Arabidopsis thaliana: one gene and its partners. The protein of the gene in region 4 interacts with the protein of the main gene of each other region in a biochemical or structural test. Each region holds a gene or a part of one and is shown on either strand. Other genes may lie near its edges.

Evidence for each region.
Region 1: the proteins of KEG (region 4) and UBC8 form a complex in vitro, tested with the Arabidopsis thaliana proteins (one study listed by BioGRID).
Region 2: of the proteins of KEG (region 4) and ABF3, one has a biochemical effect on the other in vitro, tested with the Arabidopsis thaliana proteins (one study listed by BioGRID).
Region 3: the proteins of KEG (region 4) and FDH form a complex in vitro, tested with the Arabidopsis thaliana proteins (one study listed by BioGRID).

The regions. Positions count from the first base shown.
Region 1 is NC_003076.8:16,671,964-16,678,963, forward strand, and holds UBC8 (ubiquitin conjugating enzyme 8), read left to right. Parts: upstream 1-3,878; 5' UTR 3,879-3,927; exon of another isoform or gene 3,928-4,090; 5' UTR 4,091-4,108; coding exon 4,109-4,172; coding exon of another isoform or gene 4,173-4,178; intron 4,179-4,519; coding exon 4,520-4,656; intron 4,657-4,818; coding exon 4,819-4,923; coding exon of another isoform or gene 4,924-5,058; exon of another isoform or gene 5,059-5,116; coding exon 5,117-5,260; 3' UTR 5,261-5,546; downstream 5,547-7,000. Other genes in the region: AT5G41690 (RNA-binding (RRM/RBD/RNP motifs) family protein), read right to left, coding at 98-167, 273-296, 409-497, 604-721, 802-851, 1,029-1,098, 1,187-1,210, 1,308-1,396 and 5 more. UniProt on the Arabidopsis thaliana protein: Accepts the ubiquitin from the E1 complex and catalyzes its covalent attachment to other proteins. Mediates the selective degradation of short-lived and abnormal proteins.
Region 2 is NC_003075.7:16,292,119-16,300,312, forward strand, and holds ABF3 (abscisic acid responsive elements-binding factor 3), read left to right. Parts: upstream 1-3,215; 5' UTR 3,216-3,889; coding exon 3,890-4,777; intron 4,778-4,929; coding exon 4,930-5,223; intron 5,224-5,308; coding exon 5,309-5,380; coding exon of another isoform or gene 5,381-5,471; coding exon 5,472-5,501; intron 5,502-5,772; coding exon 5,773-5,853; 3' UTR 5,854-6,167; downstream 6,168-8,194. Other genes in the region: EMB2758 (Tetratricopeptide repeat (TPR)-like superfamily protein), read right to left, coding at 1-494; DJ1C (Class I glutamine amidotransferase-like superfamily protein), read right to left, coding at 6,435-6,650, 6,730-6,867, 7,091-7,291, 7,520-7,597, 7,701-7,880, 7,970-8,119. UniProt on the Arabidopsis thaliana protein: Binds to the ABA-responsive element (ABRE). Mediates stress-responsive ABA signaling.
Region 3 is NC_003076.8:4,774,289-4,782,009, forward strand, and holds FDH (formate dehydrogenase), read left to right. Parts: upstream 1-2,444; 5' UTR 2,445-2,754; coding exon 2,755-2,841; exon of another isoform or gene 2,842-3,338; coding exon of another isoform or gene 3,339-3,358; exon of another isoform or gene 3,359-3,445; coding exon of another isoform or gene 3,446-3,470; coding exon 3,471-3,645; intron 3,646-3,772; coding exon 3,773-4,313; intron 4,314-4,402; coding exon 4,403-4,640; intron 4,641-4,788; coding exon 4,789-4,902; 3' UTR 4,903-5,238; downstream 5,239-7,721. Other genes in the region: AT5G14770 (PPR repeat protein), read right to left, coding at 1-1,415. UniProt on the Arabidopsis thaliana protein: Catalyzes the NAD(+)-dependent oxidation of formate to carbon dioxide. Involved in the cell stress response.
Region 4 is NC_003076.8:4,341,846-4,349,596, reverse strand, and holds the start of KEG (protein kinases;ubiquitin-protein ligase), read right to left. Parts: upstream 4,396-7,751; 5' UTR 3,980-4,395; coding exon 3,237-3,979; intron 2,411-3,236; coding exon 2,057-2,410; intron 1,977-2,056; coding exon 1,746-1,976; intron 1,565-1,745; coding exon 1,439-1,564; intron 1,341-1,438; coding exon 1,004-1,340; intron 848-1,003; coding exon 690-847; intron 352-689; coding exon 194-351; intron 1-193. Other genes in the region: AT5G13520 (peptidase M1 family protein), read left to right, coding at 5,026-6,021, 6,146-6,379, 6,464-6,790, 7,187-7,480; EMB3136 (Ribosomal protein L10 family protein), read right to left, coding at 7,641-7,751. UniProt on the Arabidopsis thaliana protein: Mediates E2-dependent protein ubiquitination. Acts as a negative regulator of abscisic acid signaling. Required for ABI5 degradation, by mediating its ubiquitination.

The DNA of each region.
Region 1 (7,000 bases), about 12 Mb from region 4:
CATCATTCATCTCCAGAATAAGTCACATGTTTCGTCTTTGTGGCACATTTCTGTTTATTAAACGCTAACATATTTTGAAGATAGTAAGCACAAGTACCTCAACAAATTCAGGAGGTGTCTCATCTTCATCTATCGGAAGGCTTTCTCGTCGAAGGTAGTCTTCGTAACTGAAATATCAAAAACCGTAAGTGATCTCTCCATGTATATCAAAAACTTCACCCAATGTGCTCTTGATAACAAAACACAAGGCAGAAAATAGTTAGATCCCTTACCAAAGCTTCTCTACAAGGTTGTACCTAATTAACAAAAATAATATGGTTAGTCTTCTGTAATGGCATCAAAACTCTAGCAATAAGTTACAATCAGTGTTACAGAAAAAAATCTCCAAAACATGGATAGTCTATTTACTTGGGTCCTGGAGGGTATGGAGCTGTCTTAGCCACATCAATAAAAATCTTATGATCGTGCAAATATTCACCATTCTTGTTCTCCAGTGCCTATCGTATAAAGATTTAATCAGCTATCGTATTTTCAAATAACTATACTCTACTTTTCAAATTACTTTTAATACAATTTTCATCATTACTACAAAACTACTCTCACCTTTTTTGTTTCGTCAGCAGAAGCAAACTCAACAAAGCCATAACCCACATGCTTACCTTCATGGTTTACCATAAGTCGAATACTTACAACTTCTCCAACACAATTGAAGAAATCGAAGCTGTAAAAGTGGAGGGTAGAATATCAGTCATGAAAAGACTTGCCCCGAGAACGAAAGTGGAAATTAAAAGTAGTACTTACATATCTGATATTTTAGTTTGAGGAGAAAGATTGGCAACAAAGAGTACTTCCTGAATTTAACAACCAAGTGTGTTAGCACGATTTGTAAGGAGAAAAAGATTTTCATTGCATAACAACAAAAAGTAGCCTCATCTGAAGACTCATTCCCAAATAAGTCATCTTTCGACTTTGTGGCAACAGTTCTGTTATTAAGCATGACTTATTTTGAAGGTAATAAGAACAGGTACCTCAACAGAATTAGGAGGTCTCTCATCTTCTTCTATTGGATGGCTTTCTAGTCTACGGTAGTCTTTGTCCCTGGAATATCAAAAACCCTTGTGATCTCTCCACGTATACCAAAAACTTCACCTAATGTGCTCAAAAGGCAAATAGTATAATCCCTTACCAAACCTTGTGATCTATGCAATACCTAATTAGCAAAAAAATAATATTGGCGTTAGTCTTTACTGTAATGGCATCAAAACTCTAGCAATGAGTTAAAACCAGTGTTACATAAATCAATTTACTTGGGTGGAAGGTATGTAGCTTTCTTATTAGCCACATCAAGAAAAATCTTATTATTGTCTAAACATTCACCGTTCTTCTTTTGCAGCGCCTACAACAAAAAAGATTTAATCAGCAATCCTACTTTCAAATAACTACTCGTACAATTTTTCATCATTACTATAAAAAACCCTCACCTCCTCTGCTTCATTAACAGAAGCAAACTCAACAAAGCCACAACCCACAAGCTTACCCTTGAGGTTTACAATAAGTTGAACACGAACAACTTCTCCAACCTTTTTGAAGAAATCGATGCTGCAAAAGTAGATGATTAGTCATGAAAAACTGGATCCGAGAACAGAGGAAATTAAAGGTACTACTTACATATTTGGTATTTTAGTTTCATAAGGGAGATTGGCAACAAAGAGCGTCTTCTCTCTTACTGCAGCTTCCTGATTATTAACAGGCAAGTCTTAAATTGCATAACAAACCGAAAAAAAGTAGCTTAATTGAACATAAAACTTGTACAATACATGTAACAAACAGTCCAACATTATAATGATCAAAAATTAAACCTTGACTGAGATTAAATTAGCCTGATCAGACTTTGTCACCAACAAGTCGTTCTGCTGGAGACTAAAAGCAATAGCTTTCGTTGTCACCTGTTGTTACATGAGTAGCCGCAATTAGAAAAAGGCAGAGTAAAGAAAATTGGTCTGAAAGAAGAAGAGGAATCCGAACATATGAGGTTTACCTTCTTCTTGTTTATTTTCTTATGTCTCTTGAGAATTGGGTTGGCCTCCAAACCATATTGCGGGTTACGCTTACCTAAAGGAAGAGTAGCAAAAACTTCTTAGAACCAAGTAAGTTGGTATAAAACAACATTAGATAAGAGATCATAAACCACCAAAAAAACAAACCCTGGGAGTTAGATTTGACCATCACGGAGAAGATGAAAGCAGGAGGTTTAAAGGGGTTTATGTCTTCTTTCCGGGAAGAGTCCGTTGAGCGCAAGCAATACGTTGTAAAGTAAATAACCCTAAGCTACGTTTTATTTATAGAAAACAATCAAAGGAAATGTTTTGGTTTGGGCTGGGCTGGGCTTTCATTGTACCTGCTTAAGAGGCCCAAGGCCCAACATGCTTCTTCTTTTTCGTCTACCTCCAAATCAGCCCAGTGTGTTTGTTCTGGAATTCATAATTCATAGTTTCCGATTAAAAAGCAAGAGACCAGGTACAATCTCAACCTGTGGATTGCATGATAAAGATGATTTTAATCGGAAACCGTAACGATTCAAAATTGAAACAAAAGTATTCATTGAGGATATCAAAATTCGATAACCTAACGCATGTGTCTCGAATTAGAGAAATCAAATAGTGTTTTCTGGGCAAAATCAAAACCAATCGACACAAATCGATCTTTTGCGAAAAAAATACTAAAAAGAAAGGCAAACCCGTGTAAACTTCATCTTAATCTCATGAGTAAGAGTTTCCAGATAAGCATATCTCCGTGATGAAACTTTCTCCATTCCATTACCACCACTGATTGAAGATGCGATCACCGGAAAACAACCCAAAAAGCAAACACCGTCTCCATCTATCGGTAAGGAGAATTCGAGAGATTGATCACAGAGTAAGACGAGAGACTCTTTCGATTAATGCTCTCATTGTTCTCATCTGAGAATTCCCATGGCCACGGCAAATTGTGGTAGCGGCGGAGGAGAAACGGTGAGAGCTTGTTGCGCATCTCAAAAAGAATGAATACATAAACCGAACTATACCGACCCAAATTGAAATATAGAAACTGATATAAACCGAACTATACCGAGCCAAATTGGAATTTTTGAAATTGGAATAAAACTGAACCGAGCCAAATAGTCTCGCACTCTCACCAAACCCAGTTATCTTATTAAATTTTCACCAAATCCAGTTTATCTTAATGCATATCCTATCTTTTCATTAGTCCATAACTAATTCGTTGATTATTGTTCATTAGATATTTGCAGTAATACAAATCCCACTATGACAACATGATGACTCGCATAATATGACATTCAACTATTGTGAGATTACAAAATTTAAAGATATTTTACTTCTTTTTTTTCCAAAATAAAATTTACATTCTATTGATAAAATGTAATTAGTATGGATAAATTAGAATCATAAAACATTAGTTTGAGATAGAGATTTAAAATAATCATGTCACAAAAACTAGATAAAATTTCATTAATTATGATTGGTTATCTGGTTTCATTTTTTATTTTTTACAAAAATATAATCAGCCGTTCATATCTCTACACTTGGCTATAGAAATAGAGAAATATCAAATATGTACCAAAGAGGACAATTTTACAATTGAAAATTCATCGTGATTCAGAATCATTTGGAATCTAAGTGGGGTCAAATCAAATATAGCCCACCCTTTATAATTTCTTAAAAAAATTAGATAGTATTTTAAAATTATAATGTTTACAGATATTTCTTAAGCAGCCATTATTACTAAAATAAATCATAGTTTATCCAATTAAATTATTCGCTTCCGTTTCTTAAAGCATAAAAACCAAAACTTTCTCTTTCGTTTTGCTTTCTTCCAATCATCTGCAGGAGTGAATCGCAAAACCAAATTTGGAGGATTCTTTCTGAGGTATCAAAGCTTTCTCCTTTTGATTAACCCACACGAGAAAAAGCTCTCTTCTTTTGTAGGAATTCAAAAAGCTCGTCTCTTCTTGTTCGATTCAATCAGATTAGAAAAAGTTTCTGGATTTGAGCTGGATTGATCTAGGTTTAACTTGGATTACTTTTTGTAGGGGTTTCTCAGTGAGAAAATGGCTTCGAAACGGATCTTGAAGGAGCTGAAGGATCTCCAGAAAGACCCTCCAACCTCCTGCAGTGCAGGTTCACTTCAAAAATCTCAAATCTTTCTCCTTCTTGTTGGATCCATTACTTTATCTATGATTATCTGGTAATATGCCAGAGATTTAGCATTCTAGAGATCACAAAGGTGAAAGTTACTTTTCAGACTGATCAGAGTTGAGAAATGTAGAATCCTTCTTTGCGTTGTGGTGTTGTCTACTTATGTTTTGGCTTATGTTTATCTTAAGATTTTATGATGAATTTCAGTTTATTAGTTTCTACTTTTCTCTAATTATTAGACTAATCAGAGTTAGAAGAGTTGAGAAATGTAGAATACTAGAATCCTTCTTTGGTTTGTGGTGTTTTTTTTGCTTATGTTTTAGTTTTTGCAGGTCCAGTTGCTGAAGACATGTTTCATTGGCAAGCTACAATTATGGGTCCTGCAGAGAGTCCGTATTCAGGCGGTGTGTTTCTCGTTACCATTCACTTCCCTCCGGACTATCCATTCAAACCACCAAAGGTATTCAATATTGGAACAACTCTTAGATTACCACGAACTTTAGGTTTAGTAGAGTTCCTTGAAATTCTTGGACCTAATTAAAACTTGTATTTGCCCCCAAATCAAATCAATTTCTTGGCTTAATCTTGACACTTTTATTGGTTGTTTTGTTTTTATTTGCAGGTTGCATTTAGGACGAAGGTGTTTCACCCTAATATCAACAGCAACGGAAGCATTTGCCTTGACATTTTGAAAGAACAATGGAGCCCTGCCCTCACCATTTCCAAGGTGACTCTCATTTTTCAGAAACATCGGTTCTCCAATGTTCGTTTATGTTCCAAAAGTATAGCAAGAGCATCTACATTTTCAGCTAGGATTTTGCTCAATGCACAAGCTTTGCTTCTTGAATGTTTGTGTATGTAGTAAGATCATCATCTCTAGTTTTTAGCTGTTTTAATGGAAATGTTTATGCAATTGGTAGGTGTTGCTCTCGATATGTTCGCTGTTAACAGATCCAAATCCAGATGACCCTTTGGTACCAGAGATTGCACACATGTACAAAACCGACAGAGCCAAATACGAGGCTACTGCAAGAAACTGGACTCAGAAGTATGCCATGGGCTAAACAAAGATTCGTATGCTTCAGCACCTGTTTATGTTTTCATGTCTGTTTCTTTCTTCTTCTTGTTTTAACTTTAATAAAAATGTCTAAAATATCAACTTTTTCGTCTGTACTATATATGTTTATGGGTTTTATTATCATCATCTTTATCTGAAATTTGAAGATGGAATTCTAAAGCTTGAAGGTTATTTGTTAAAGTTTATTTACTAGTGAGTGATGAGAAACATTGTGTTGTTGTTCATTTCATTTTTTCTTTGTCAGGAATATTCATTGACTTGTTTTCTTTCCCAATATTTTATTTTACCACAAATATGTAGCTTATAATCACTATCTCGTAGACACACCGTCGTTAACTACGAGAAAAAAAAGAACAGACCATTTTACCAAACTGTTGTCTTTTGCCGACGAAGTCACCGAAGCCGGCGGCGGAAGAAAAGGTAAAATTACAAAAACTCTCTTCTGCAAAGTGACCATTTTTCACAGTGCTAAGTACAAATTTGTAGTCTTTAACCTCACTCACAGTTCATATATGTCGCATTTTGCATCAACAACAAAAAAAAACCTAATCTTTAGGGTTTATTTCTATTTGAAGGTTTTGTGGTGTTCATGGATACAAGAAAGATTCCGTTGTTCTGCTATTGGAATGGTTGTATTAAAGATGGTCCTGATGGTCCGTTCTATGAAGGGTCAAGTCCAAGAGGGATCAGAGTTGATAGCAAAATCGAACTATCCAATTTGTTGGATGATCTGCATCGACTTACTGGTTTTGAAAAGGGAAAGTTTCAGATTGATTTGATTGGTAGGTACCCTTCCATTGTTCAACAACAGATGGTCAAGTATGTGCGTTTGCCCATTGTGGACGATTGTAGTTTGGAGATGATGCTTGAGGTACCATGCTACCATCCATCTATCAACAGTCTGGAGGTGTATTTAGAGATCAAACCGTTTTCTGATGAAGTTACTGTTTCTATATCTCATCAGTCCCCATTGGAAAGTAATGTGCCCCGAAAGCGTTATCGGCAAGAGGATGCTAGTAGTGTCAATGCAGATGTAAATGTGAGTGGGAGAAATACTAAACTAGGAAGTCCTCCGGAGGATAACCATAATGGTTGGATTGAAGATGAGGAGAGTACGGATGTCGGAAACTCTGGTGATAATGGGGTCGCACAGAAGGATTCGAAAATGAAAAAGCCAACTCTAACGGAAGGCGTCAGTGATAGTGTCTCGAAGCAGTTGATTTTCTCTAGTTCATGGCTCGATGAAAGTGAGTTGCATGTTGGGATGATTTTTAGAGGTAAAGATGAGCTGGCGAAAGCAGTGAAGTTGTACTCTAATAGAAGGCAACGTGAATACAATGTATTCGAAATCCCCATTACGGGTACCTTTCAATCAGGGTGCAAGAACTACTGTAGATGGTTTCTCAAGGCAGCTAAAACGAATGGAAATGGCTTCAAGATAACAGAATACACAGGTCCACATGCTTGTAAGCCAGCAGATGTGGGCTCAGATTTCCTGGCAGGTGAAATTGAATGTCTAGTAAAGGTTCAGCCCTCGCTCTCAATTGTAGAGCTGAACAATTGGGTGAAAGAAGCATTTGGCTACACAGTCTCGTATGCTAATATGTGGAAGGCTAAAAAGGAAGCGATCTCTGCAATCTTGGGAGATTTGGACAAGAGTTTTAGCGTATTGCCCAAGTTCATGGCTGCCCTTGGCTCATCTAACAAGATGCTTTTGGAATGGCAA
Region 2 (8,194 bases), on a different chromosome or scaffold from region 4:
GTCCTACAAGCTTTCAAAACCGAAGGAAAAGTCCTGTAATCAGGTGTAAGTCCAGAACTCAACATAAAGAGACTAAAACACCTAATCACTTCTGAAGAATTTCCCGCACGGCCATAACCAGAAATCATCAAATTCCAAGCGTATACATCTCTGTTCTGGATATGATCAAACGTGTGCCTAGCCAATGCGACATTGCCAAGGTAACAATAGAGATTAACAAGTTTAGCAGAGATACAAACATTTTGGATTTGTTTGGAGACAACGAGACGTGCGTGGAGACATTTGGCTGATTGCAAATTAGTGCAATATCTGAAAAGTGTGTGAACATCATCAATCTCTTTACTTTCATTCCCATTTTTCCAACAGTCTTGCAAAGCATTTGCAGATGCTGAAAATTCTCTAATAACTGATCCGATAGATTGCAAAACTCGTGTAAAGCGCCCACCTTTGCAGGTTGGAATTTGTCTGGGAAGTGAAAAGGTTCCAAATTTCATCAAATTTTCGAGGGAAGAAGAGAAATACTCAGAGAAAATCTATACATTTATATATATACCTCAACATACATGCAATTCAGGTGTCTTGAAAACTTTCGACGATTCCCACCAAAAGGTTTCGGTTAGCTTAGAGAAGTAGAGATGAGAGACTAAAAGAGATGGTATAATCGGGTTGGTGATTTTCGACGGTGAATTGAAGAGTCCGCCGGAGGGTTTAGCGACGGCCGTCAGCTTTTCTTCTTTGATTGCGGTTTGTAATTTAATTGAACCCGGTTTGGTTTTGTAAACCGTGCGGTCTAAAGCACTAAACTTTAAGACGAGTAAGATTAGAGCCCAATAAGGCCCAAATAGTTTGGTAGCTTGGTTAAGCCCAAATATATAGCCGTTGGCTAGACGCCTAGACGGAGTTTTTTGTACTGACCAATAGAGAATGGCTTGCAAGAGGGAAACACATGATCTGAACCAAAAGTATGTTTGTTTGTACACTTGAAGCGTATTTTTAGCATACGTTTGCTCAAGCAGGGCCAATAATTGACAATAAAACCTTCGATCCACGTGATTTGGATTGCGTGTTAAGAGGTGCAAAACAAATCTTCGTGCTCACATTATTCGGGCTATTCACTTCACATGCATTTGACTATGACAAATGACAATAGTTCTTTTTAAAAAACAAATCAAAGGAATAATACGTTTATTAGACTTCACAATCTTGCTATAATGGTCCCTCTTCAAAGCTTAGAGAATTTGTAAGATAACAAATTAAGATTGATTGTATTTGGGTAATAATGACTACCTCTTTTTGGCTTTTTCATTTATATAAATACTTGGAGTTCACCTCCTTACAACAACTTGAAACAAATCATGGAGCTTAACTCCTACAAACATGGAATCATGGAAAAGTGACTTTAGTGGAATACTCCACATTATTAGCAATGAAACAGAAATGCGAGAGACTTAGTCAAGTCATGACCAAGTCCTTAATCGTATCTTGGATTGGGCTTGCGCAGACGTTTGGGCCGAACGTTGATGTTGGGCTGAATGTCCTCATCATGCTATGCCTCATAACTCATTCCTCAAAGCTTTCTTCTAATCATAATTTATTTGTTTTTTGTTTTTTTAATTTGCATCGTGAGGTCTTCTTTTTGATCCAATCAATGGACCTCTTTCTAAGAGTTCAACTACTCTTAACAACTTTAGGTCTTCTAGACACATAGAAAGTAATAAATATATATGGGCATGACACTAAGGTTTCATTCTTTTTCTTTATTGTGGTTTAGGTTTTTGATCTAATTTTGTTATTGTAAGAATTATTTTGTAATTTTGTTATTATCTTACCATGGAATTAAGAAAAAGTAAATTTCTTCAAACTTACCCTGTTGTTGCAACTTACATATTAAACTCTCTCTTTTTTGTTAAAAAAAGGTTATATATCTTTTAACCTTCTAGGATTTTAGCCTAGCTGAAAAAAAGTTACACATTAAACTTGTTTTTGTTAACAACGTTTTAGCATTTCGGTTGTGTGTTGTTTCTTCCGGTTGTTATAGTTTCGTACTTTCGTTGGTTTTGAGTTTTGGATTCTTGAAAGGTGGTTATAATTTATACATTTTGTTTCTACACGACCTTAAAGAAGTAACTTCAATTAATTAAATCTAATTCGGGAAAGAGCACGTCTCAAAAGAGTCGTCGAGTCCCATGTGAATTCTATATGATAACATTAAACAAAATCACGGTTCCATATTTGTTTAATACTAGTATGTATTGCAGAGTAGACTTTCCTAATCCAGTAGATTCTTAAAGAAAAAATAATATAAAAAGATTGAAAATAGAAATAAAAGATGGGAGACACGAAGGGTCACTTGTATTGTACCGAGTCCAAATGTAAAGAAGTCTCAATAATGGTGTAATAAAATAAAGAAGTTGAAGACAAGATCACAATCACCATGTGAAGATCAACACACAAGATCATAATTTTATTGTATGTTTGCTTCATTTCAACTTTTTTAAATATTGTTAAGAGGGCAGGCATTGAGTGCGCCACGTGGCAAATGACCATCCCTTTGTAGGTGCAGCAAACGTGATAAAGATTCCGGACTGTTCACCCATTCCCTTCTTCCATTTGTTTCTTATTTTTTCTTACAAATCTTATCGTATCATAATTTTTTTTCCATAATGCGCTCCCTTGAATGGAATAACGTTGGTTATTTTGTTTCCAACCAAATTTTCATACCATTCGATCAAATAGGTGCATCAACTTACAAGAAATGAAAGTGTGATCCCTATTTTATTAGGTAGCTAAGTAAGTGTTAGTGAACACTACGTTAGATTGTTACTCAAATAACGGATCAACGAATCTCGTATTCATTACTATACTGCTAATGAATGCATCAATTTTAATTTTTATTGGTTATCTATCCTTAAAAAAAAGTTATAAGAATATTTTGATAATTTGTTCCAAGATGTAGTACTAGTAGTAGTACTTGGTCTCGTAAACGACGACGCCGTTTAGGAAATCAAACGGCCAAAAATGCTTCCACTTTGCGAAATTTTATTGGTGGGAAACGCAAATGTATCGATAATGATTTAAAGAAAAAGCGGCGTTTCTAATTGGACCACGTTGCCCAATCTCTACGGCTCACGCACGATCTGACGTCAAATTGGCATAATACTATAATAACCTTATCGAGAATAAAATAATAGTCGCATCCAAACAAAAGAAACCAACCCTTTTATATCACGACGAGTGTCACGCCATGGACACTTGTCCATCTCTCTCGCTCTGACCCCTTTCAGGTATCTTTTATTTCTCAAAGAGGAATTATTGATTTTCCATTTCCAAAGAAAAAAAATAAATTCGAAGGTCAGGAAAATTAACAAAAAACTTCCTTTTTTTTTTTGTTAGTTTGTGTGACTGAGCTGCTTCATTTTTTTTCTTTCTTTTTTTTTTTGGTTTGATGAATCGATTTTTGTTGTCTATTACTGATTGGTTTTCTTGTTCAGATTCACTGATTCGAAGAGAATCATGATTTTTTTTTCCCGCTGAATAATAAGCATATGATTGGGTGTTTTGGAGATTTGTTTACTGATTAAAAGGAGATTCCTTTCCATTTTCACCATTTGCTCTGTTTGACTTCATTGTGCTTATATTTCATTTAGATCTTTTGTTTGGGTTTAGCTTTGGAACTGATAAAAATCTGATTTTGTCTCACGGCTTTGGATTTGGTTCTTAAATTTTGGTACTTTAAAACTGGATAAAGATCAGTGCTTTTTTAGATTCTTCGTTTGTTGATGAATTTATGGATGTATGTATAATTAAACCATAATCTCTCTGCTTGTTTGTTTTCTTATAGGTAAATATCCAGAAGCTTGATCCTCCTAGTTGTACGAAAGCTTGAGTAATGGGGTCTAGATTAAACTTCAAGAGCTTTGTTGATGGTGTGAGTGAGCAGCAGCCAACGGTGGGGACTAGTCTTCCATTGACTAGGCAGAACTCTGTGTTCTCGTTAACCTTTGATGAGTTTCAGAACTCATGGGGTGGTGGAATTGGGAAAGATTTTGGGTCTATGAACATGGATGAGCTCTTGAAGAACATTTGGACTGCAGAGGAAAGTCATTCAATGATGGGAAACAATACCAGTTACACCAACATCAGCAATGGTAATAGTGGAAACACTGTTATTAACGGCGGTGGTAACAACATTGGTGGGTTAGCTGTTGGTGTGGGAGGAGAAAGTGGTGGTTTTTTCACTGGTGGGAGTTTGCAGAGACAAGGTTCACTTACCTTGCCTCGGACGATTAGTCAGAAAAGGGTTGATGATGTCTGGAAGGAGCTGATGAAGGAGGATGACATTGGAAATGGTGTTGTTAATGGTGGGACAAGCGGAATTCCGCAGAGGCAACAAACGCTGGGAGAGATGACTTTGGAGGAGTTTTTGGTCAGGGCTGGTGTGGTTAGGGAAGAACCTCAACCGGTGGAGAGTGTAACTAACTTCAATGGCGGATTCTATGGATTTGGCAGTAATGGAGGTCTTGGGACAGCTAGTAATGGGTTTGTTGCAAACCAACCTCAAGATTTGTCAGGAAATGGAGTAGCGGTGAGACAGGATCTGCTGACTGCTCAAACTCAGCCACTACAGATGCAGCAGCCACAGATGGTGCAGCAGCCACAGATGGTGCAGCAGCCGCAACAACTGATACAGACGCAGGAGAGGCCTTTTCCCAAACAGACCACTATAGCATTTTCCAACACTGTTGATGTGGTTAACCGTTCTCAACCTGCAACACAGGTGACTAAAGAACCTAAGCTACTACATTTTGTAGGAAATACAATCATCTGAAAAATATTAGACGTAGCCTTCATGTTTTAAGATAAGCTGGTTTTGGATATGCATGTATGTTTCAGTTATCTGAGCATGACTTGTTTTTACTTTTTTCGCAGTGCCAGGAAGTGAAGCCTTCAATACTTGGAATTCATAACCATCCTATGAACAACAATCTACTGCAAGCTGTCGATTTTAAAACAGGAGTAACGGTTGCAGCAGTATCTCCTGGAAGCCAGATGTCACCTGATCTGACTCCAAAGAGCGCCCTGGATGCATCTTTGTCCCCTGTTCCTTACATGTTTGGGCGAGTGAGAAAAACAGGTGCAGTTCTGGAGAAAGTGATTGAGAGAAGGCAAAAAAGGATGATAAAGAATAGGGAATCAGCTGCAAGATCCCGCGCTCGCAAGCAAGTGAGTGTTTGTTTAAATTTTGGAGATTAAAGAAACCTTAAAACTGTGACCATGTTATTTACTTTTTCACTTTCTTGCTTGACAGGCTTATACGATGGAACTGGAAGCAGAAATTGCGCAACTCAAAGAATTGAATGAAGAGTTGCAGAAGAAACAAGTGTGTCTCGCTTCTTCCCTATCACAATTAAGAATCTCGAGATTTTCATATTTTCTTGAGGTTGTATTCACTGACCAAATGTTTCATGCAGGTTGAAATCATGGAAAAGCAGAAAAATCAGGTACTGTCTTGATTTGAATATCCTCTATGGTTGTTGGCTAGGCTTTTAACTCTCACTCATAATGAATTACACTTTTGGACAGTATTCTAAGCTTTTGAGTAGAATAGTGTAAGCTATACCATGAAGTGAGACATATCATCACATTTTTGATTTCCCACTCTGCATAAAGTATTTAAGATTTGTGAATATGTTGCAATGCCAATTTGGATATTTCATGAGACTAATCTGACGAGCATGGATTTAACGGAAGTTGGCTCATTTGTTGTTGCAGCTTCTGGAGCCTCTGCGCCAGCCATGGGGAATGGGATGCAAAAGGCAATGCTTGCGAAGGACATTGACGGGTCCCTGGTAGAGCTTATAATGGCGTCTAAGGAACCCAACAAAGCGCCGAAGTTATAGAACAACTCAGAAGATAGAAAGCTAGCTTTGTACGTAGTTTAGGCAGGTTCTGTGGGTGATTGTAAATCTTGAAGTGTGGCGGATTTGACAGAGATAGATAAACACATATCTGTTCTATTTTCCTAAATCTTTTGGTTTTATCTTCCTGATGTAATGGATCTTTATCATTTGTCTTGAACATCTTTGTGACTTAACCAGAGTGAATTTATCTTGTATCTTGTCTGCAATTTTTTCTTTAGCTCATTTGGGCCCAAGTCAACACCTTTATTATAGAAGAGAGTAAACATCAAGTTTAGCATCAACATCTGGTAATCCAACTGGGCGTACAAAATTAGATACACATACTAAATTGGCAAAATTCTTGCAGATAGCATCCCGCTTCAGGATAAGGTGCATCAACGTTGAACAGATGATACTTGTGAAAAGTCTCTGGAGTTGAGGTGGTTTGATACCATCGGACCGTTATACTTCGGTTTAAGATCAGTAATGAGACATCTTCTAACTGTGTTTCTTGAACAAGATGCTTTCAAACGGTTACTGCCTTGGATACTCATGCACAAGCCCTTCTGAAACACTCCTTGCTCTAGCATGTCCGAACAGCTTGCTAACAATAGCCAGGGAAAATTTGGTAACAGTTGCGAGCCCCAAACTTGTAATCACGTTTCCATCTATAACAACTTCGGCTCCTTCGATCATTTGTTGATTCATAGGCTCGTCTGACTCTGAAGGATACACAGTCGTTCTCTTCTCCTAAAATAGGATTCCAATTGTTTATGGCGTTTGTCCATGTATATGACAAAGAAAAGAACAATAGTTGTCTTCACCTTACCTTGAGTAAACCATGTTTATGCAAAACGGTAGATGAAGAGTTGGTAGCTCCATATATTCGCCCAGATTCATGTTGTTCCCTGAGCAGTTTCTTGAGAATTTTGGACTTCTGCAGACGTTCTGAGCCAGTATGGCCTCCCTTGGGAATTTCCATCAAAGAAAAGAAATCATATTACTCACCATGGAACAACCAACAGTTGTAGTTTGTCTAAAAGCTTTTCCTAAGCGCATTGATTTGACATGGCATATAAGTTATACTGAAACATGTACATAGCAAGATTTATTTAAGAAGAAGTAAACTAGCGAAATGGTATGAGTTTATTATGAGACTAGGACATGCAGGGTTTTGCTTAAAGCCTTACCGGAAGAATGATTAGATCATATGATGACTCAGCAGCTTCACCAATCAATTTGTCAGTGATAATTTTGGTGCCTTGGAATGCCGTAATCCGCAAAGATCGTTCAACTGATGAAACCGTGACATCTACTTTGGCTCTTCTAAGAACATCTGCAATTGAGACCAGTTCAACCGCTTCAGACCCGTTGGCTACCGGGATAAGAACCTGGATTTAGATGCATCATTAAAACAAGTTTCTCAGCTTTCAAACTAAAATGAAATGTTCTTAGAATCAGCTAACTTTTTCATCTTTCAAAACTAACTGAGCGTGAAAGGAGAAGGAATGGATAAAAGAAAAAACTCCATAGGTATAGAAGATAAAACCAAGATCAGTTCTCATCATATATCATGAGATTACATGGAAATGCATTGATCATAGCTTCATGCGACTTACACGAGGTGTGTGGTCTAAAGACCAGTCAATGCTATTGAACTCTTTGTTCTTAGGATTCTGGTAACCATCACGCAGAAGCTGGAGAAATGATTGGAAAAGAAGACTATGAGAAGATTGTTGCATATCGAGAAGGATAAAGAAAAGCATGATCCAGAAAAGTATAAGTGAATAGGATATAGACCAGAAACTCTTCAATTGACTTGGCTGTGGTTTCTCCGAAGAGCTGCTCCGCCAAGGAAAGAGCAAACTGGAAAGAAGTGCCGGGTCCACGGCTAGTTGTAAGCTCCCCTGAAATCTGAATGTTTGTCTTAACAGCCCAGAATGTAGGAAGCTTCCCGAAAAAAGCAGGATGTCCCGTTGTCTTGCACGATGAACTACACCAAGTTTAGAAATCAAAACATGAAGAGAAAAGATTAGTTACTAGATGACATCAAAGATTTTGATTTATACCCTCTTTCTTGTCAAAAGTCCCCATGGAAGAAGAGTAATAGCTGGAGCCATGGATATAGCCCCGTATAACCGCTTATCTTCAGCTTGTCTCTTCATGATCTTCTCGAGAATTTCACAGTCTCTTAACCTAACAGCACCAGGCATGCCTCCCTTCACAATTTGTATTTCCAGACCATCCAGAAACAAATACACAAAACCATTAAAGTAAAGCTCAAAGACTGTCCT
Region 3 (7,721 bases), 430 kb from region 4:
TAGTTGTTTTCCTCCACCCCAATCAGCCTCATTTCCTTACTCAGTTCAATTGCCATTTCTTCTTTCCCTGCCTTAAACAAGCCATCAATTACTGTACCATAAGTAAAACCATTCGGCACAACATTTTGGTCCTCCATTTTTCTCAAAAGACTAACAGCTTCTTCGAGCATCCCTTTCTTCACATAGCCGTTTATCATACTAGAGTATGTTACAACATTCGGAATAACACTTTTCTCTAACATCTGCGTTATGATAAATTCTGCACTGCTTAAATCCCCCGCTTTGCACAACCCATCAACCAAAGCCGTATATGTAACCACATTTGGAACTTGGTTATCTTCCAAAAGCATCTTAAATGTTTTCTCAGCCTCCCTAAGGTCCCCAGCCTTAAACAGACCATCCATCAAAACAGTATATACAACTAAATCTACAGGTATCCCACGCACAACCATCTGACTGTAAAGAGCCAAAGCATGGCGGTAAATATTTGCTTTAAATAACGAATCAACAAGAGTAGTATAAGTTACATGGTTCGGATATACACTCATCTCCTCCATTTCCCGCAGTAACAATCCCCCTTCCAGCACTTTTCCACCTTTGCACAATCGGTTAATAATCGAACTAAAAGTAACAACATCCGGATCAAACCCACTCATAACCATATCCCTGTATGCTTCTTCAATAGCATGGAGATTGTAGTAGGAGCTTAAGAGTATAGTATGAGTGATAAGGTTTAGTTCCGAGATTTCGTCAACTAAAGCCTTAGCTCTAACAAAGTTTCCAACTTTACAAAACCCATCAATCAGAGTATTGTAGCTAACCGTATCAGGCAATATACCCATCTTCACCATCTCAGATAGAAACTGATAAGCCTCATCAGCTAAACCATGTTCACATAAACCCGAAATCACAGTGTTATAAGTAACAGTATCGATGCTGATTACTCTATTTCTAAGTAAACTAATTGCAAAACTCAAACGACCCACTTTGCAAAAAGAATGAATCAATACATTGAGAGCAAAAACATCGGGAGACACTCCACAAGCTATCATCTTGCTGTAAATCAGCGATACCTGATCGTGTACCAAACCATTGACATTGAATTGATGAATCAGACTGTTCCATAGACGCGAATCCGGAACAACCCCGAAAGTGCACATCGCAGAGAGCGTCCTTGCTGCTCCGTAGAGTCTCTCACAGCTTAAATAGAGCCGAAAGAGAGTATGGAAGAGAGAGACGTAAACTCTAGTCTTGATAGGAGCTAAATCTGGGTCGAATCTTCGTTGTGTGATCGAGAGGCTAGTCTCTTCGCTTTCTGGGATTTGGGGTCGTTTGATTGACGAGAAAGAGCGGCAATTTGAGAGGAAGAATCTGTATTTACCCTTATAGTTATTCCAAATCCTTATCATTATCATCAGCAGATAGATTGGAGTTCATCTAAATCTCCAAATTTCTCCAGAGACTCCTGCAAGCTCTCATGGCGTCTGCTTGTGACGACGCATCGTTTTCCAGGTGAACTGAGAAAAAGAGTTTCGAAGCTCGACGACGAGGTTTAAGTTCGGTAATACCACGTCGTTTTAAAAGACTCAATAATAACGGCCCTAAATACATGGGCTGTTTTTGGGCTATATCTAAAATAAGCCCAACATATTAACGTTTAAACATATTTCATACATTTCGGAGATAAGATTTCGGAAAAATCTATTTCACGACGCTATTTCGGAGATAGATTAATAATGGGTTAAGTTGCAAATTACTCACTTTTCTAAATTTAATTTGAAAAGTAGTCACTTTACTATTCATAATTTGCAAAATAGTCACTTTTCACTGTTTGATTCGTACACTTAGATTGTACACCATTTTTAGTGTACAGATGTATATAAAAAATACACAGCGTACACTTTACATTTGTACACTAAAAGTGATGTAATCCAAGTGTACGAATCAAACAGTGAAAAGTGACTACTTTGCAAATTATGAATAGTAAAGTGACTACTTTCCTAATTAAGTTTGAAAAAGTGACTATTTTGCCAATACACCCATTAATAATAATGCGATGCTATTTCACGACGTACTTATCCAAAACATATAACGTTAACAAACAACTAAAGGGACCACTATCATTATTGCATTTTAGATGTTAGTATAAATTGAATTATTATTATATTTGTTGGAAATTTATGTAAATACATATGTATTTAATATTTATCACCTGTTAGAAAATATGTTAAAAAAGGATTTGATTTATTTTTTGTTGAAGAAGAAACATGATTTCTAAAATATTTGGAAATCTTTGATTCTGGTTTATACACTTTGTATCAATGGAAATTTGGTAAAATTGGATTTGTCAGTGTGAAAATATCATGGAGAGGAATCAATTAAAAAGGAAAAGAACCTTACCAAAAAGAAAGAAAGTAAAAGAATATAACTAAATAGACATTACAGTCAGCTTTTCTAAACAAGGAAAGGATAGACTTATACATGAATTAGTAACTATTTCCTTAGAATTCAAGGATTTTTTTTGTCTAACAGTACTTGTCAAGTAACATAAGTACGATAATTAAAGTCTAACGATGATGTCTATGGAGCCGTCTTACACGTGGCACAGCTATTCTGGTCCGAAGAAAAGGATGATTTGGTGCAGGTGCGTGAACATTTCGTCCTATATAAATCCTCTCATCTCCAATTACTGATTTCACACAAAACAAAAATCGACCAAAGAGTAACCAAATTGATATTTATCTCTTCTCAACCATGGCGATGAGACAAGCCGCTAAGGCAACGATCAGGGCCTGTTCTTCCTCTTCTTCTTCGGGTTACTTCGCTCGACGTCAGTTTAATGTAATAATTCTTTCGATCTCTCTCCTTTTTCACGATTAAGGTTCTAAGTTGGTGATATTTATAGTTTCTCAGAGTTTTGTGTGGTGATTTCGCTTGATTTTACTGTTTGCGGTTGGTAACGTTTCCGATTGTGTGTGGGATAGATGTTTTTGGATCTTTGGCCTTATGATTTTGAGGATATGCAAATTTTGGTTTTGTAGAACCTATTTTGATTTTGTTGTGATATGATCAGACTGACTGTGCATGACTGAAACGTGTGACTAAAATTAGGAAAGCACAACTGTCGTTTCTGATTAGGCCAGCTAAAGTTTCCATAATGGAACCCAACTACTACATGGTGTCTCTTTTTGTAATAACTAAACGGCACGATGTTTGATATGGGCTTCTAAACGGGCCTGTAAACGTTTGGGCGTTGTATATAGTTTCAAAACAGAACAGATTAGTGTCTTACTGTAAGATGTTGTCTCTTTCAGTGTAATGGGAAGACGCACTTTTTGATGATTTTTCAGAGTTTTAGGTAGTTCTTACATGCGTCGGATCTTTTCTTGTTCTTATATATGTATTCATGTTTCTTTGAATCGGGTATATGTTAAAATTTAAATAGCCTTTTGAACTTGCTTATGAAACAGGCATCTTCTGGTGATAGCAAAAAGATTGTAGGAGTTTTCTACAAGGCCAACGAATACGCTACCAAGAACCCTAACTTCCTTGGCTGCGTCGAGAATGCCTTAGGAATCCGTGACTGGCTTGAATCCCAAGGACATCAGTACATCGTCACTGATGACAAGGAAGGCCCTGATTGCGGTAAGTATTTTCCAATCTAACAAGTACTTGAAGAGATTCAAAATCTTTAATTCTGTTTTTCTATAGCACAAACTATAAATATGAATGCAAGCCTCCTTTTGATTCAACTCTTATTTATTAATGGCAGAACTTGAGAAACATATCCCGGATCTTCACGTCCTAATCTCCACTCCCTTCCACCCGGCGTATGTAACTGCTGAAAGAATCAAGAAAGCCAAAAACTTGAAGCTTCTCCTCACAGCTGGTATTGGCTCGGATCATATTGATCTCCAGGCAGCTGCAGCTGCTGGCCTGACGGTTGCTGAAGTCACGGGAAGCAACGTGGTCTCAGTGGCAGAAGATGAGCTCATGAGAATCTTAATCCTCATGCGCAACTTCGTACCAGGGTACAACCAGGTCGTCAAAGGCGAGTGGAACGTCGCGGGCATTGCGTACAGAGCTTATGATCTTGAAGGGAAGACGATAGGAACCGTGGGAGCTGGAAGAATCGGAAAGCTTTTGCTGCAGCGGTTGAAACCATTCGGGTGTAACTTGTTGTACCATGACAGGCTTCAGATGGCACCAGAGCTGGAGAAAGAGACTGGAGCTAAGTTCGTTGAGGATCTGAATGAAATGCTCCCTAAATGTGACGTTATAGTCATCAACATGCCTCTCACGGAGAAGACAAGGTACCACAGCTACTATCAGAAACAAAAAGAGACGAACACTAACTAGATTTTGTTTCTGAGATTTGACCAATGGGTTCTTGTTTATTCAGAGGAATGTTCAACAAAGAGTTGATAGGGAAATTGAAGAAAGGCGTTTTGATAGTGAACAACGCAAGAGGAGCCATCATGGAGAGGCAAGCAGTGGTGGATGCGGTGGAGAGTGGACACATTGGAGGGTACAGCGGAGACGTTTGGGACCCACAGCCAGCTCCTAAGGACCATCCATGGCGTTACATGCCTAACCAGGCTATGACCCCTCATACCTCCGGCACCACCATTGACGCTCAGGTTATATTGTTTTCCTTGAACCGTTACACATATCATATGCATAAATTTCTCTGGAAACTTTTGCTAACGAATGAAAAGGTGTTGTTTTATCCAAAAAGTAATGTTGGAAATTTGGAACTAAAACATTTTGTGTGATCAAAATTTGTAGCTACGGTATGCGGCGGGGACGAAAGACATGTTGGAGAGATACTTCAAGGGAGAAGACTTCCCTACTGAGAATTACATCGTCAAGGACGGTGAACTTGCTCCTCAGTACCGGTAAGCTTTTGAGGAGGTGACATTGGGAAGATGATGAGAAACGACCCCAACGTTCAAGAAAACAAATAAAGAAGTATTTGGACTTTGCTAAGTCGAATGACTTGAGTCATCTTTTGGTTTAGTTTTTGTTATTATATAAGCACAATAATAATAGGAGGGCACTTCCCCTGTTCTGAGAGTTTGTGAACATATTACTCAGTGGTTTAAATCACACATATGTATTTGTTTCCCCAATCGTAGGAACTCAATGGTTTCAAATCTCATTATATAAACATAAAAATGAATAAAGGCATATTAAATTTGTCTAAAGAAAAGTGTTCTTGTTATTAGGACCTAGCTCTATCAGATTTTGATGCACACACCGACAATGGTGTAACTACAACATTACGACAATATTTGAATCATTGTATGGAACGTGGGTCCATATTTGTATCAATATTTAAGTTCTTAACAACTATATCAATTATGAATCCCATATTATTATATGCGTATTTAAAACTATAGGTCTATAATATAAAGAAAACTGTTTTCATATTTTCTCAAGATGGGAGAAGCGGGTGTGGGGATGCTAATCATTCGATTTGTAATTTGATCAAACAGTGGTTAGAGATTCAGATATGTTGACAGCCAACTTCTTGCCTTTTTCCAAATCTGCCCCTTCCCCCACACTGCATTATCTCACGTGTATGGTTTTTCCTCATCATGTTTTATAAGTTTTTGATTCACAACACAAGCGGAATGATGAAATTTTGATAAAAGATATGCATAGCATAGTTATGAAAGAAAACTAACTAAAAATGTTAAGAATAACCATTATATATGTAGAGTCCCATTATATTAGAGTCTTGAACATAGCTTGTGATTTCCCCATTCATTATATAGTATGGCTGATTACAACATACGAAAGATTAACATATGTTATGTTATGTAAAGATTAACATAGTAAAGATACGCATAATCGCAACGTTATTTCGTTTTGAATATATCACCTTATGCAACCTGCTACTACCAAATATTATTATTACTAGATTTTAACCTGCGGTATACCGCGGGACAATTTTTTTTTTTATAAGTAATATATATTAAAACTTGCAAATTTTATTTTTATAAAATATTGATATTTTACAGTTTATAATTGTTATTAAGTAACGTTATACCACGAATCCATGAGACAATTGTTAAAAAACTGAAGTTTTAACCCCTATTAAAACATCATATTAATAATATTTTAATATTTTATAAATATTGATTCAAATACATCCACCATATAACCCAATTCCAAAATAAAACCCGTTCTTTAATTTCTTTATCCGTCTCGTTATTTTTTTTTCAAAGTAGTAATTTTTAAATTTTAAGAATTATTTTTTATATATAAAAGTTTTGCAAATTGTATCATTCTCTAATATATTTAAATTTTATAGTTTAATTTTATATATAGTAACATTATACATACCACATAACATTTTTGGTTTTATATAATCTTTTCTAAATTAGAATGATTTGATATGTTTAATATTAGTGATCTTAAAAGATAACAAATTAAAGATTTAACTCGTATTGAAATGGTGGATTAATTATATTTTACTTTTTTATTAATGTTGATTCAAAAACCCGTCCCTTCAAATCCGTCTTGCCAAAAAGCAATTTATTTTATTAATATTAATTTTATTAATGATATGACTCTGAATTATAATCTAAATATTTTAGCTAATAACATAGAAGTGCACCATATTTATTTAATAGGAGAATGTACCATATGACCCGAATGCACTTTTACCCCAATCCACCAAAAAAACAAATATATTAGTTAGCTTAAATTAGTTAAAGAATACAAATTGAAAAAGTATATTACACTTTATTCGAATATAGTATCAAAACTTATATAACACAGAGATTTGATAATTTTTTAATTGTTGAATACTTTTTTTTTGCTAATTTTTATGTGATTAAGATTTAATTAATTTCGTATATAAAATCTTAAATTGTTTTACGAACTTATTTGTTTATAATTTGGTAAAAGATAGATATTAGAATATTCAGTATATTTTGCTTCAGTTTAGGAAATGTTTGATGACCCGTCTTTAGATCCAATAAGCCCTATAATCTAGATATTAACCTGCAGTATACCGCAGGTAGGCTTATATTTTAGTTAAACTAAAAACCTTTATTGTAAAGATGATTTAAAAATATATGATATTATTTTATTTGATTTTAAATGTATAGTAAACTGTGAGTTGTATATGTTTTGTTGATATTATCTATATTGTTTAGTATTTAAGATTATACACTTGTAGTTTGATTGTTAATTTAAGAGTTTCACCTGTAGTATACCATCTTGTATTAATATCGATCTAAACCCGTCAATTTTATGATTTTCCAGCTTGTTAAAAATTGAATCACATCATACACATAAAAAATCTAATATGTTATTGTAGTATATAAGATTATAAATTTTCAATATAATATGTATGAAATTGAATATAAATATTTCAAATTGTGACCTGTTACTCAGTAGAAAGTTTTCTTAAATCTATTTTCACCCGTTATAATATTTTTTCATGTATTGAACAGTTTATATTCGTTTTTAAAAATTCAAATTATGGCATATGCGAAAAAACTCTAATTTTTTTTATAATGATGATATTATTTTTTCGCAAAAATAGAATCATATAAAGATGAGAAGTGAACTATAATAATTAATAAAAAATTAATATAATAATTTAGATATCAAATCTAATTTGTTAATTTTAATTGTTTACTTTTTTGGAAATTAATAATGTATTTCGTTTTTCTAATTAAATAAATTAATTAAAATTTAGATAT
Region 4 (7,751 bases):
TCTTTTAGATGTACTACATAAAATACCATTGGAAATGTGCTTGAAAAAATTCTTATCTTATAGAGATGACCATAATCATCGTGTCATCAAATAAAGATAAAACTTCGTAAAGATCCTCATAAAATATATCAGATATAGTCATACTTCTACCAAGCAATTCACCAAACAAAAGATACTACGATTTCATCATTACCCTTTTCATGATCTTTCCTTATAGAAGCAGCCATACACAGAGCAGTGCCAACTGGGCTTGGGATATTAATTGCCTGAGAAATTTCTTCTGGACTGGAAACTTCCACCCATCTCTTGATAACAGCAACATTCCATGTTGCTACACACATATGTAACGGTCTGAAACAAACATAAAAGTATAAAGATCTGTAGCATAAAACATCAGAAACATAGGTTTACAAAATGAAATATGCTTTCCTAAGAAAGAAAAGAACCAAGGTACACATTAAATGGTTCAGCTACCTCATTGTGACTTATCCAAACAGGTTAATGTAGTAGACATTTTTAAGCACATACAATGCTCAAAATAAGTTATAATGTAGATGCAAATAGGAGTATAAGAACTACAAAATAAAACCAAACAGAACTTGCTTTAAAATGGCCCAGTAGTAATCTATCCGTGCCAAATTTTATGGTCCCGTCTACCTAGCATAGAAAGAGGTCATTTCTGTACTTACGTCAGGCACTTCGCATTTGAAACAGTCATTGATCTAGATCCCCCATTTTCCAATATAACAATGGCACAATCTGTGTATTTCTTGGCAACAGCTCGATGAAGCACAGTTTCACCTTCATCATCCACTGCATTTGGATCGGCTCCAGCTACCAGCAATTCCTATTGATAGTACCAATTAGCAGAGAATAGTTATTAACATGATAATAGATATAAGACAAGCATAATATCTGATACACTTCACATAAGTGGAAGATTTGCGATCATGTTGTGGAAGCTTTAAAGTGACTGATAGCTTCCTCGGGAGCAGAGACTTACACGCATACAATCAGGTTGGCCATGGTACGAACACACGTGAGCTACAGATGGGCCAGATCCTTCCCGCAGTCTGGACCTCACATTAGCCCCCTTTTTAATGAGAACGTGAACACATTGTGGAGATCCAGCTGCTAAAGCAAAGACAAGAGGAGGATCCCCATCTTTGTCCACGATATCTACATTAGCCTCCCCATACTCCAGTATAGCCTCCACAAGTTCAGCACTGCCACGTCTGCAAGCTAAGTGAAGAGCCGATTGACCATCAGCGTTTTGCGCCTCTAATAGAGATCGCACAGAGCTTCCACCGCCTCCAGCTGCAGCCTTTGCAAGTATATTTCTACTCCAAAACAAAAATCAAACCAATGTAGTTGAGAACAGGTTGTTTATAGCTAGTGCGAACAAAAGGATTAACTAGAATTCCTAACAGATACTAACCTTACACCCTCAAAGTCTCCCTCCAAAACAACCCGATGTAGGTTGTTAGGGTTATCCTGAAAGACCCCTATGTTAGTCGCGCGAGGTGCTTGTACAATGTTTACTTCACATATTTTGGCAATCCCACTACATCATACATGGTTTATATTATTGTTAGGCGAAGGAATATAGGCATGATGACAAAAATAATCTTAGGTGTTGGTGCTAATATTAATCTTAACACAAGTGAAAGGGTCTTCTTTACTGACAAGCAACGAAAACAGGGAAACCATAAAACTAAGTAATCTTAGGGACTTAAAACTCTTACTTATCAGGGCTTGCTGAAGGGCTACGTGGTATCTCTTGTAGATGACGAAGAAATGTAGCAAGCATTGCATTAAAGGTTGGTCTTTTCGACGGTTTAAACTGAAGACATTCACCAATCATTTTCCATAATTCCCGAGGAATTCCCACACCCACTATGCGTTCATACTGTGGTGGTACTTTTCGGGCTTTCACAACAGCTTGAAAAATTTCTTCTCTACTAAGACCATCCCACCTGTAAAATTAAGTGACAGTTAGTACAATGGCAGACACAAAACACAACTGAAATATCAACTAGGAAGAGGCTTCACATACGGAGTGGATCCAGTGCACATCTCTACTAACGTACAGCCAAAACTCCATGCATCTGATTCTGGAGATACACCACTTGCATCCTCCCAAAAAAGTTTTTTCACCGGTCCCCAAGCCTCTGGGGCAGTGTAGTGTGGACTGAGTGTTACACAGTCCGTGTATAGAGTGACTTTTGAGGAATCAAACTCTGGTCGAGTTTTCTGGCATGTTGGCTTCTTTAGGATGGGAGCGAGCCCATAATCAGAAACCACAGCATTGCCGCTTGCATCCAAAAGAAGATTGGAAGGTTTTATATTCATACAGATAACACCTGCTGCATGGAGTTCTGCAACCCCTCGAGCAACATCAGCCCCATATCTACAGTTGGTAAAATTTAATATCACAACAAGAGCAATGGAATAATACATATGTTGGTCACTGAAGGAATATTCTAAGTTGTAAACTTAAAACAACATGAGCACGATATGAAAGGAGAATACAAAACACTCATTTACGCATTAGTGCTTACATTTAATAGTCCCAAATGACGCAATTCAGTTAAAAACAGAAAATAGGAGGAAATACAAACAAGTGAATTGAAGGTAATATTAGAACCAGGACAACAAAATAAGGATCATCTTTAGATGATGCGTCCTTTGATAAATTAATGTATAACAATTCGTACAATTTTTTGCATGATTTGATATGTCAGTTCGTTGAAAAATGATTTCTGGTCATATACTTTAGAAGGAAGCATACTAATGTAAAGGGCTTTCTCAAAGATATCTTGCAAACGTAGGTTCAAGGATCCACTACTAAAAAGGAAAGGACTAGTCCAAAAAATGTTTGTCTATTGAGGCATTGACAGATGAAAAGTAGCTGCAGCTGGTAATGACAAAGAGAGATGACAACTACTATAATTCGTGCCTAGCTTTTTAAGAACATCTAAACTAAAGTTATCTTACAAGTTGCCCTTTTGGCAAATGACACCAGGTTTTAGTTGCTTGTTTCACTAGAATCTGAAAAACTGTGCACTTACAATATATATTTCTAATAGCAATCACAAAAAACCAAGTCGGGTCTAGTCCAGTAATTTCTAATTAGGGAACAGGCTATCAAAGTTTGAGACTTTAAGCACAGAAACGATCACAGTAAAAGCCAGATACTAGGCAAAAAAAAAGAATAAGAGAAGCAAAAGAGGAACCTTAGAATCTGCTCCAAAGTAAGTCTGCCTTCATTGCGTTGCATCTCAGACTGAACAGACCCAAAGCACCTGTCCATCAAAAGACAAAGAGATCCATCCATCTTCACAACCCCATGGAAAGTACAAACATTCCTACACCACATGGATGCTCTCCGCAAGCTCTCAAGCTGTCCCTGCATCCACTCAACATCCATGTCCTCCGTCAAAGTCATCTTTTTCACCGCCACACGGTGCTTACACCGTCCACCACCGCCTGCAACAGTTGCATCCCACATCTCCACACCTCCAAAACCACCACTACTACTCTCTTCCCCAATCTGCCTCACCAGCTTCATCTCCGGGTGAGCTCCGACCTCGATCACTGGACCACACAAGCTATTAATCGAGCTTGAGGCATGAAATCCACGAGCGGCACGAGCTCCATCTTCATCACTACCATCTTCTTCATCGTCGTCATCCTCATCATCCGTGTAATCGCAATCGAAGTTAGCGCCGCCGGATGCGGCGTGAATGAGAGCAAGCATAGCGTAGTTCTTCCTGAGACCCTGAACAGAGTTCCCAACAACAGACACGTGGCGACACCGGGGACAAGTGAGGGTTGTGTCGGAAGAAGTAGAGAACATCTTGGAAAGACAATCTTTGCAGAAGCCATGGCCGCATTGAAGCAATAAAGGAACTCTCTCATCTTCATTATACCGCGTGTGGCACACGGAACAACAAGGGACCTTGACTCTCCCAACCATGAGAGCTCCGAAAAGAGAAAGCCCTAAATTAATTTAGGTCGCGAGATCAAAGAGTAAGAAGGGAGTGAAAGACCAATCAATTCAGTAGAGAGAGTTCCTCAGAACATATCTGGGGGGGGGGGGGGGGGAAGGAAACTCAGTAAAGTCGATCCAGATCAAGGAGAGAAGAACAGATCCATGGAGAAGAAAGAAAAAGGTGGAATTTTTGAAAGGTAGATCAAAATTGGCTGGGAAAAATCAGACACGAGCAAGCAAGAATAAAAATTGTAAGAAAAATGTGAAAAAGGTTCTTCTTCAGGGTTTTATATCATCATTTTTATTTTTATTTTCATTTTTTTCCAATTTTATTTGGGGTTGAGTCTCGAGGGCTCTCTGGTTTCGTCGGTTTTGACGGGTGGGTGCCGTCAGCACTTGTGCTCGAACCCGTTTATTGACTCTCCTAATAGTAGTAATCGTCAACCATCAGATTTTATATTTGTTGTCATCAACAACTTAAACCATCAGGAAAAAATAATTGTAATTTTTACTGAGAGTTTTTTTTTTTGGCGAAGTTTTTACCAAGTAGCTTTTGAGCCAAATGCAAAAACAAATAGATTGTTTGATCTTGTAATAGAGTTCACCAAATAATGAGACGATAAATCTGACACCAATACCAAAATGTAAACTCGTTGTTTGTTGCTAAGTAGATTACTCGTGTGAGTGTATAACTCATGGACCTAAAACTTGAAGCTCAATAGAGGCTCAAGCCCAAAAAGATGGTTGTTAAAAATCTCAGGATTGTTGGTGGCTTGGTGTGCTTTTGGTTCATCCAACTTGGGTTTAACATTGTATTTAGTCGCCGTTTAATATCTAACGGTTTCAACTTTATGCACTAAATGATTCTCCATTAACCAAATTATTCCAAAAATACATTATTTATCATCATAAAATGGTACCATCGAACAACAATTCTTCATTTTTTCTTTTTCTCCCGCTTTATACTCTCTTCTCCACCTCTCTAACTGCCCCTTTCCTCAAAACCCTAAGCAAGCTTCTCTCACTCAGCAATGGCACCCATTGATCCACACTCTTTCACCGATTCCTCTCATCCTCTCACCACGCATGTCGCTCTCTCCCTCTACCTCGATTTCAACACCTCCATAATCCATGGCTCCGCTCTCCTCACTCTCTCCTCCGCCTTCTCCGGCGAACTCTCTCTTGATACTCGCTGCATTTCCATTGCTATGGTCCTCGATCCTCTCACTCTCGAGCCTATCCCTTACTCCGTCTCCACCACACCGGATCGAATTCGGGGCACCGAAGTTGTCGTAGTCCTCTCCGGTCAATCTTCACTGCTAATTGTCTACTCCACTTCGCCTTCTGCTTCCGCTCTCCAGTGGCTTTCGCCGCTTCAAACTTTCTCCAAATTGCATCCTTATGTCTACACGCAGTGTCAAGCGATTCACGCCAGATCCATTTTCCCATGCCAGGACACTCCTGCCGCGAGGATCCGTTACGACGTCGTTATGAACATACCGAATTCGCTCTCTGCCGTCATGTCGGCTCGCCACGTCCGTCGTAGGCTTGCGGTTCCTGAGGAGGCTAAACATCTCGAGGCTGGGTCGCTGGGGTCGTCACTGTGGTGTGGTGAGGATAGAGTTGTGGAAGAGTTTGCTATGGAACAGCCTATACCGCCTTATCTATTTGCTTTTGCCGTTGGTGAGTTAGGGTTTCGGGAAGTTGGACCTAGGACTCGGGTATACACAGAATCTGCCGCCATTGAAGTTCTAGATGCGGCTGCTCTGGAGTTTGCAGGAACGGAGGATATGATCAAGCAAGGGGAGAAGCTGTTTGGAGATTACGAGTGGGAGAGATTTGACTTACTGGTGCTGCCTCCGAGTTTTCCTTATGGAGGTATGGAGAATCCAAGAATGGTTTTCCTGACGCCTACTGTTATCAAAGGAGACGCCACTGGAGCTCAAGTTGTAGCTCACGAGCTCGCACATAGCTGGACTGGGAATTTGATCACTAATATCAACAATGAACACTTCTGGTTGAATGAGGTAGCTTTGAATTGTCTTGTGCTTTTGCTTCTTTTAGCTACAAATTAGGATGTGTAACTGTGTGTCCGTTTTTAGAGTTTGCCTTGTTGATGGGAAAGTGTTTATTTCATGTTCATGGCAATAGGGATTTACAACTTACGCAGAGAGGAGAATTGTGGAGGTTGTTCAAGGGGCGGATATAGCTACTTTGAACATTGGCATTGGTTGGAGGGGTTTAACTGATGAAATGGAACGGTTTAAGGACAACTTGGAGTGCACTAAACTGTGGAACAAACAAGAAGGTGTTGATCCAGATGATGTATATTCTCAGGTCCCATATGAAAAAGGATTCCAATTTGTGTTGCGAATTGAACGCCAGGTTAGTTGAATTGCCCTCTTCGCTTAGGTGTTTTGTTATGTAATGTTTACAATAATGGTCATCTATTTACTGGAAAACTTTCAGATTGGAAGAACTGCTTTTGACGAATTCCTCAAGAAATACATTGCTACTTTCAAGTTCAAGTCAATCGATACAAACACATTTCTTGAATTCCTGAAAGCAAACATCCCTGGCATAGAGAAAGAGATCAATCTACAGCTGTGGACTGAGGGCGTTGGTATACCAGAGGATGCATATGAACCAGTCTCAACCATTTACACAAAGATCATATCCCTGGCGAAAGAGTTTAAGGAAGGAAAGATGCCAAGTGAGGATGATGTTGCTGAGTGGAACGGACAGGAATGGGAGCTGTACTTGGAGAATCTTCCTAAATCATGTGAACCTTCTCAGGTACTCTTTACTCCTTTCTTCCTCTAAGTTAATGGGAGCTGTACTTGGAGCTGTACTTGCTGAGTGAATCTTTATTTCTTCCTCTAAGATAATGGGAAATGGCTTGACTTAGGTTGAACTACTCAATAAGCTTACATAAGGAGGAGAAAAAGGCCTAACTAACTGTCAGTTAGGTTAGCTCAATAGTTACTCTTGGATTAATGTGGGGCTAGTGAATAATGATTGTGGAAAAACCCTCTTGGCTTTGGGAGAGTTCATGATTGTGGAAAGTGTATTGGCTTTGCAAGAGTTAGGATCTTATCTTGTTTGTTAATGACAATGCTAGTCAACAAAGGAAGGATTGGTGATCAGGTTCAAACCTATGGCTAACACCCACTTTGCTCATTGATGAATCAGGTCATGGCCTTGGACAAGCGGTACAGACTGGCAGAATCGAAAGACTATGAAGTGAAGGTCTCGTTTCTGCAACTTGCAGTCACATCCAAGTGCAGAGAGTACCATGGGGAAGTGAAGAAAACACTAAAAGAGGTAGGAAGGATGAAGTACCTGCGTCCACTCTTCACTGCTCTTGCACAATCTGGTGGAACAGAAGAGAAGCAGCTGGCAAAACAGGTGTTTGCAGAAGCTCGAGAAACTTATCACCCCATAGCTCAGGGAGTTGTTGAATCTATCCTCTCTAAGTACATCTAAACAAGACCGTTATGATAGCTTGAGAGCACTCCGAAAAACAACATTTCAATAAAACTCAGTCACTGTAATAACAATTGGTGCTTGAGAGAGTCATAAACAAAAAATTGAATTGCCTTTTGTTGCGTACATTACATTCTCCAAAAGATTAGTACAAGCTTAACTATGCATTACTCTCATCTTCCAACTTCTTAATGTAAGCCATAAGCACCATTATAACCTCTCTTGCTGGTGCTTGTAAAGTAGTGACGAGATTAATAGCCGGAGATTGCAG